Canis lupus familiaris: one gene and its partner. The protein of the gene in region 2 interacts with the protein of the main gene of each other region in a biochemical or structural test. Links are inferred from orthologs where the notes say so. Each region holds a gene or a part of one and is shown on either strand. Other genes may lie near its edges. The genes, in order: GTF2F1 and GTF2B.

Region 1 (3,815 bases), on a different chromosome or scaffold from region 2:
GCCTGTAAAGCCGACTGTCCCCAGGAGGCCCCCCCAGAACCCCTGCGCCAGGTCCCCATCCCAAGTTGTAAAACACAAGAATCAATCATGGAGAGGAGTCAGGAGGCCCGCAAGCGTCAGGAACCAGGTGCCTGGCAGAGACCGTGGTAAGACCAGACGCTTAAAATGTGAAAGAAGGGGTCAAACCACAAGCAGATCTGCTCTGAAGAGGAAGCAGAGATGAGCCGAATGGAGAGCCGGGCCTGGGAGCCGAGCACTTCATGGGTTGGGGGGGGGGGGGGGGGGGGGGGGGGTGGGCACAGCTGAAGGCAGAACCGGAAGCCAGCTGGAGGGACGGCCGCCCACGCAGACACGCAGAGAGCACCATGGGCTGAGGACTAAGGAGCCAGCTCCAAGGGGCAGGGGAAGGTTCCCGGAGGGAGGGACCTGGGAGACCAGAGGACGGCCCGGGGTGATCCCGCACTGACAAGGGGGCTCTGGGACTCAGGGAGCAGGTGACAGACAATGCGAGCACCCAGGAGGTTCTGGCGACGGAGCCTGTTTATTGGGCAGGTGGGTGGGCGCCGCCCGTCACTCCTTGAGGGAGAAGTGCATCTTGTCGCTGATCATCTTGCGCTCGGGGTTGAGCCGCTTGAGGATCTGCGCGAGCACGTTCACGGTCTGCTCGCTGCTCAGCCCCGTCTTCTTGGTCTGGAACTTCTTCAGCAGGTCCTTGGTGGTCATGGGCTTCCGCGTCAGGTAGCGGCGCACCGCGTCCTCCGTCACCTGCACGTCTCTGTGGGGCCAAGCAGAGGGCGGCGTGGGCGGGCGTCCGCAGGCGGCCTCCCCACACCCCCGCCCCGCCCCTGCCATTCCCCCGCAACGTACCCGCTGCTGGGGGTCGACTTCCCCGACTGGGGCTGAGGGGTTGACTTCCCCGACAGGCTCTGGGGCCCCGGGTCCAGCCGCAGACGCTTGGCCACCGGCGTCTCATTGGTCCGCTTGCCTGGGGGAGCGGGAACAGGGCTGAGTCCTGTGCTCGAAGTGGGGGAGCCCAGGCGGAGGGGTGCCAGGATCCCAGTGCAGGGGGCCCAGGGGGCACACAGGCCTTGGCTCCCGAAGCAGAATGCGGGCCAAGGGTGGGAGAAGAGGAGGCAGCGAGGCTGGGTCCCGCTCACCCTGCTCCAGCTTGTTGGCGGCGGCCCGCAGGGTGGAGGACGTGCTGCCACTCTCCGCGCTCGGGCTGCCCGGCCGGCTGTTGCCCCGAGAGCTGCCTCCCGACGGCCTCCGCTCCCGCTTGGGGGGTGTCTTCTTCTTCTGTGGAGATGGGGTCCGGGACATGAGTCTACAGATAGCCCGTCGCCTGCCCCCTCCCGCCCCCGGGCCGGGCCATACCGCCATGAAGAGGGCCGAGGACGCCTCGCTGTCAATGTCGCTCTCCTCCGAGCTGTCCGACTCGTCGCTGCTGTCTGCTGGGGGCCAGAGGAGAGGTGTGGCTGCCGGGGTGCCCACCCGTGCCAGCCCCGCCTCGGGTAAGGGGCTAGGGGGTGGGGGGTGGGCTGGGATGCAGGGAGGGGACCCACCTTTCCTACGCTTCTTTTCCTGGGGCGTGGGCGCCTTCTTCTCCTCCTCCTCCTCCTTGTCCTCCTCGGGTGGCTTCTCCTCCTCGCTCTCCTCGCTGCTCTCGCTCTGCTCGTCTACGCCCTTGGGGCCCTCCTCCTGCTGGACGACCTTGGGCTTGCCCTCCAGCTCCTCCTGCGAGCTGCTAGAAGACAGAACGAGAGGGTGAGGGCCGGCCTGGGCCATCCTGGCCCCAACCCCTCGGCCGCCTCCTGCCTGCCTTACCTCGAGCCGTCCGACATGTAGTCCACCTCCTGGCCCTCGAAATCCCCATCGTCGCTGTCCTCGAAGGCCTCATCATCGGAGCCCTTCTTCTTTTTCTTCTTCTTGGTCCCCTTGGTGGGTGGTGCCTTCTTCTTGGCCTTGGGGGCTCTGCCCCCTGCGGAAGCAGAGGCGGGCTCAGGCTGGCGCTCATCCTATTTGGTGTATCCGAGGAGGTCCGCCTCGGCAGAAGCCCCCGAGGACCCACGTCTCCCAAGCAAACCCGACCAATGCAAGTCTACACCCCTGACTCCCTCTCTCCGGTTCTCACACTCAGGAACGCCACCTCCTTCCCTGCATCCCCCAGGACCGGGTACCGACAATCAGAAACCAGCCTGTGGCCAGAATTATTTGAATTGGCCAACCTGAAGCTGTTGCACCCTCTGCCCCTCCGCATTGCACATCCCGTGGGAGCCCCAATAAAGGCCACAGCTGAGACCTTCCTGTAGCTTTCTGCCTCCTACCAACTCAGGTGCTTGCCCAGTGGCCTGTGTAGCCTGCTGAGCCCTGCTCTCATTCCCAGGGGGCTGTGACTAAGCTTCAGTGGCACTAACCTCCCTGGGCCATCACTCAGACACCTTGACAAAGTACGACGCAAGCACAGATCACCAGGCTGTGCGGATCACCCAGTCACCCCGGGGGCTCCACCGGCCTCACCTTCCTCACCACTGGCCTCGCTGTCGTCAGACGACATCTCCAGGTCATCCTCCAGGTCGTGGATGCGCAGCTCACTGGCTTTCTTTCGGCTGCGCTTCTCCTTTTCCTCGTCTTCCTCCTCCTGATCCTGATCCTTGAGCCGTCGCTGCTGCATGATGCTGAAGTGGTTCAGGACTTTGTTTCTCCTGTGGGCAGGGGAATGGGATGCAGTGGGAGGTGACAAGGGGCCTAACTCCAGAAACCGGGCCTCCTAACTGCATCTACACCAGGCACTCCCCCAAAGGGGAACCATAGACACAACTTTGGTGATATGAGGGATGATCACAACCCTGGCAAGTAACACCCTGAAATTACATGCAGAGAGCTGAATTTCTTTGACTCCTTTCAGTCCTATGTCCCTCAAGGAGAAGCTCTCAGTGGTTTGGTATCCCAGCATCTCTCAAGCTCAAGGCCTTTCCCAGGCAACAACAGAATTTGGCCACAATGTATTTACATCCATGTGTTTTTATGGTAGTTTATGGGTGCCTTTGTTTTTATGACAAATAATACTGCTGTTTCCATTTACCGTGATGGTAAAAGTTTTTAAAGTTTTTAAAAATATGACTATCTAAAGAGAGTCTTAGGATTGTATCTAATAGCACAAGCAAAGTTCATCAGTGGCATGGGAAGGAGTAAAGCTCTTTGATACAAGAATGTGAGTGGACTTAACACTACTGATTAGTACACTTAGAGTTGACAAATTTTATTGTGTGTTTTTTAGTTATTTTTAATTATTTTTAATTAAAACATGGAATGAGGATCCCTGGGTGGCGCAGTGGTTTGGCGCCTGCCTTTGGCCCAGGGCGCGATCCTGGAGACCCGGGATCGAATCCCACATCGGGCTCCCGGTGCATGGAGCCTGCTTCTCCCTCTGCCTGTCTCTGCCTCTCTCTCTCTCTTTCTCTCTCTCTCTGTGACTATCATAAATAAATTAAAAAAAAAAATTAAAAAGAAAATTTAAAACATGGAATGAAATACTGATATATGCTACAACACAGATGAACCTTGAAGACCTGCTGAATGACATGCCAGTCACAAAAGGACCAATACTGCATGATCCCACTCGTATGAGGTCCCTTGAAGGGTCAACTCAGAGAAGGAAAGTGGAATGGTGGAAGCCAGGGTTGGAGAAAGGGGGCAAAGAATAACTTTCATGAGGACAGAGTTTCAGTTTGGGAAGATATGAAAGTTCTGGAGATGAATGGTGGTGAAGGTCGTACAACAATGTGAATGTACTTAATGCCACTGAACTGGATACT
Region 2 (3,815 bases):
GGATTCAAAATGATTTCTGCACCCCTATGTTCACTGCGCATTATTTATAATACCCAAGATACGGAAACAGTCTTTCTATCAATAGATAGATGAAGAGGAGGTATATCAATACAATGGATACTATTCTGCCTTAAAAAAGAATAAAATCTTGTCACTAGAAAGTATTATGCTACGAAGACTGAGAAAGACCAATACCATATGATTTTACTCATATGTGGAAAACGAAAACAAAAAATTAACAAATAAAAACTCATGGACACAGAACACACTGGTGGTTACAAGAGGGGAAAGGAGTTGAGTAGGCAAAATGAGTGAAGGGAATCAACTATATGGTGATGGCTGGTAGCTGGATTTTAGTGATTACTTTGTAGTATGTAACATATGTCAAATTACAGTTGACCCCTGAACAACTCAGGGATTAGAGGGTGCCAACTCCCAGCACAGTCAAAAATCCATGAATAACTTTTTACCCTCCCCAAAACTTGAACTACCAGTAGCATACTGTTGAATGAAAGCCTTAGCAATAATAGTCAACATTTTGTATATTATGGATTGTATTTTAACAAAAAAGCCAGAGACAATATTAATAATATCATAAGAGATGGGACGCCTGGGTGACTCAGTGGTTGCATCTGCCTTTGGTTCAGGGCATGATCCTGTAGTTCTGGGATTGAGTCTCGCATCGGGCTCCCTGCATGGAGCCTGCTTCTCCCTCTGCCTGTGTCTGCCTCTTTCTGTGTCTCTCATGAATAATAAAATCTTTAAAAAAAAAAAAAAATCGTAAGAGAAACTACACTTACAGTACTGCACTATGTAAAAAAAAAAAAAAAAAAATCTGCATATAATTAGATGTGTGAAGTTCAAATTTGTGTTGTTCAAGGGTCAAATGTATAATATTGTGCAACTAGAACTCACCTATGGCACATATAGTATATATGGTATATATGGTGTACACACACAGGCACACACGGTATATAACATACCAGTTACCTCAATAAAGAACAAAACATGCCTCTCAATACTTCCCATAGAGCTAATTTAAAATTTCTCAGTTAATTTTTTTAAAAAAGATATATTTAGTTTTAGAGTGAGCACGCACGAGCAGTGGGGAGGAGGAGGGAGAGAGATTCTCAAGCAGACTCCGCACTGAGCCTGAAGCCTGATGCGGCACTTATCAATCTAGATCACATGATCTCCCTGAGATCATGACCTGAGCCAAAGCCAAGAATCAGATACTTAACTGACTGAGCCACCCAGGCACCCCCTCAATTAATTTAAATGTTTATCACACTTTAAAGAAGTCTTTGAAATGAGTTAAATGTCGGTTTTTATTATTTCAAAATACTAACAAGTTTCAATTCAAAGAAACAAGTTTTTTCAAATAATCCAAAACTCCATTGATATTTATGTATAAATCTTTTGTAAGGAGTGTGTATCAAGGAGATAAAAGAATATACTCAAAGCTAAAGGATACTTCTCAAGCTACCCAATGTCATATGTATATGCAATCCCTGGGGTCATAGGCTATAACAACAAAATGAGATCAAGTATTTGACTCTGTTATTCTAAAAATTAAACTACCAAACACAAATTTAACAAAAGCCTTAGTTTTAGTTGTAATAAACAAAAAGATGAGGAGGATAAAAGCCACTGCCTCGCCCCGGTGGCTCAGTGGTTTAGCTCAGTGGTTTAGCCCCGCCTTCAGCCCCAGGGCGTGATCCTGGAGACCTGGGATCAAGTCTCACATCGGGCTCCCTGCATGGAGCCTGCTTCTCCCTCTGCCTGTGTCTCTGCCTGTCTCTATATCTCAAGAATAAATAAATAAAAATTAAAAAAAAAAAAGCCACTGCTTCATTGTAAGATATTCATGGGTGAATGAAAGGTAATGAAAATCTTAAGCTGAAATGAACTCTGGCGGAGAAAGTCAGAGCAATAAGGGTCACAGACAGCAGCACTGTGAATAAGCTGTCCTATATTAATCTTGAATACAAACTGGATGAAAAATACTAGTTCTTTCAAACCCTCCAACTTAAGGGTGAAAGTGCAAACTACAGAACTTGAGAAAAATGTCCCTGATGTTTTCTAAGGCTTGACTCCTTCACCTGTAGAGACCTGTGCATGGTCTTAGAAATAGTTTTCTGTGCATCAAGTGTACAGACTTAACCAGTAACAAAGGTATACTCTGGCTTATGATAACAGGCCTCAAAGGCCACAAAATGCAGTCAGCTCAAAAGATCTCACAAGCAAAGAACACAGAGCTTACATGGACTAAAATGACTTTACATGGGAAAAGAGCCTGAGAAGAACATGGTTCAGATCACAGAATTAATTTTTATCAGAGAACAAATTAAAGAGGTATTTTTGGAAATGATACCAAGATGGATATCGTACGTAACCAGGGAAACCTGACTTAGTTATGTGGTGTCCAAGTTCCTTGACTTTGGTCTGTTACTTTAACACAGAGAATATTTGTATCTCTGCAATTAAAAACTTACCTTTGAATGTCCTAGGAACCCCTTCTTGTCTACAGGCAATATAGAGACAAGCGGAAGCTATGGCATCATTAGCTCTTCCCTTCAGGCTCTTCTGTTCATATACTTGCTTGAATAAATTATTTGTTCGATCCTTCAAAGCAAAGAAACTAAGTTTAATTAACTCTAGGCCATTTAATTAGTTGCAATATCAAAATTTCATGTGTTCAATAAATTACACTAAGTCAATGTCAGAATGGCTTAAAGGAGACAGACAAAAACTTACAACTATATTTCGGGGGAGGTTGATTCTGTCTGCCATAGTAGTGATTTCTTTGAAAGCATTCATCATTGCCCGATCAGAACTACTCATTGTTCTCCGATTTTGGTACTTAGAATTGCCAAATTCATCAAAACTTGCAGCTCCTGTACCCTGTAAAACAAGGTTTTATAACTTTATGCAAAAAAATTTTTAAATCTGAATGAATAGACATTTCTAAGGAAACATAACTTATACACTCTGTATAAGCCCAAGAAATCTACCCTGTGCCTCCTCTCTAATCCTCAGTAGAATAAGTACCAGGTTGAGATGGTGTAAATGAGTACCTGTGAGAGAGCTCAAGAGTATAAACCATCACCTAATAGACCTAAGGAGAAAAATGAAAGGATCATCTCCAAAGGTGCTATAAAGGCAAGCAAATAAAACTCAAAAGCCATTTTTTTTATTACAAACTCACAAAATATTACAAATGGGTATTTCTTTGTATTAGAAAATCATTCTCCCAGGCCCAAAGCCAGCACAATTATTAATGGGAAGAAAAGGCATACCTTGTTTTATTGTGCTTCATTTTACTGCACTTTGCAGAGACCGTGTTTTTGTACTGTTAACAAACTGAAAGTTTAAGGCAACCCAAGTTGAGCAAGTCTATTGGCGCCCTTATTCCAACAGCATTTGCTCACTTCAGGTCTCTGTCACATGTTAGTAATTCTTGTAACATTTCAAATTTATTCACTGTATTTCTTACAGTGATCTGTGATCTTTGATGTTACTATTGTTTTGGGGCTCCACAAACTGCACACTTTTAAGACAGCAAACTTAATAAATTTGTGTGTTCTACTGAGCAGCTGTTTCCCCATCTCTCTCCCTCTCTCCTTGGGCCTCCCTATTCCCTGAGACTCAACAATATTGAAATTAGGCCGATTAATAACCCTATAATGGCTTCTAAGTCAGAGGAATAGTCACATGTTTCTCACTTTAAGCTGAAAGCTAGAAATGATTAAGCTCAGTAAAGGAAGGCATGTCAAAATCCAAGGTGGGCTGAAAGCTAGGTCTCTTGTGCCAAA

Evidence for each region.
Region 1: the proteins of GTF2B (region 2) and GTF2F1 form a complex in vitro, tested with the Homo sapiens proteins (3 studies listed by BioGRID and IntAct). The link is inferred for Canis lupus familiaris from reciprocal best matches to the Homo sapiens genes GTF2B and GTF2F1.

Annotation. Positions count from the first base shown.
Region 1 is NC_049241.1:54,176,166-54,179,980, reverse strand, and holds the end of GTF2F1 (general transcription factor IIF subunit 1), read right to left. Parts: intron 2,703-3,815; coding exon 2,518-2,702; intron 1,979-2,517; coding exon 1,825-1,978; intron 1,745-1,824; coding exon 1,563-1,744; intron 1,452-1,562; coding exon 1,375-1,451; intron 1,297-1,374; coding exon 1,158-1,296; intron 986-1,157; coding exon 868-985; intron 776-867; coding exon 571-775; 3' UTR 523-570; downstream 1-522. UniProt on the Homo sapiens protein: TFIIF is a general transcription initiation factor that binds to RNA polymerase II and helps to recruit it to the initiation complex in collaboration with TFIIB. It promotes transcription elongation.
Region 2 is NC_049227.1:60,037,152-60,040,966, reverse strand, and holds part of GTF2B (transcription initiation factor IIB), read right to left. Parts: intron 2,905-3,815; coding exon 2,758-2,904; intron 2,626-2,757; coding exon 2,496-2,625; intron 1-2,495. UniProt on the Homo sapiens protein: General transcription factor that plays a role in transcription initiation by RNA polymerase II (Pol II). Involved in the pre-initiation complex (PIC) formation and Pol II recruitment at promoter DNA.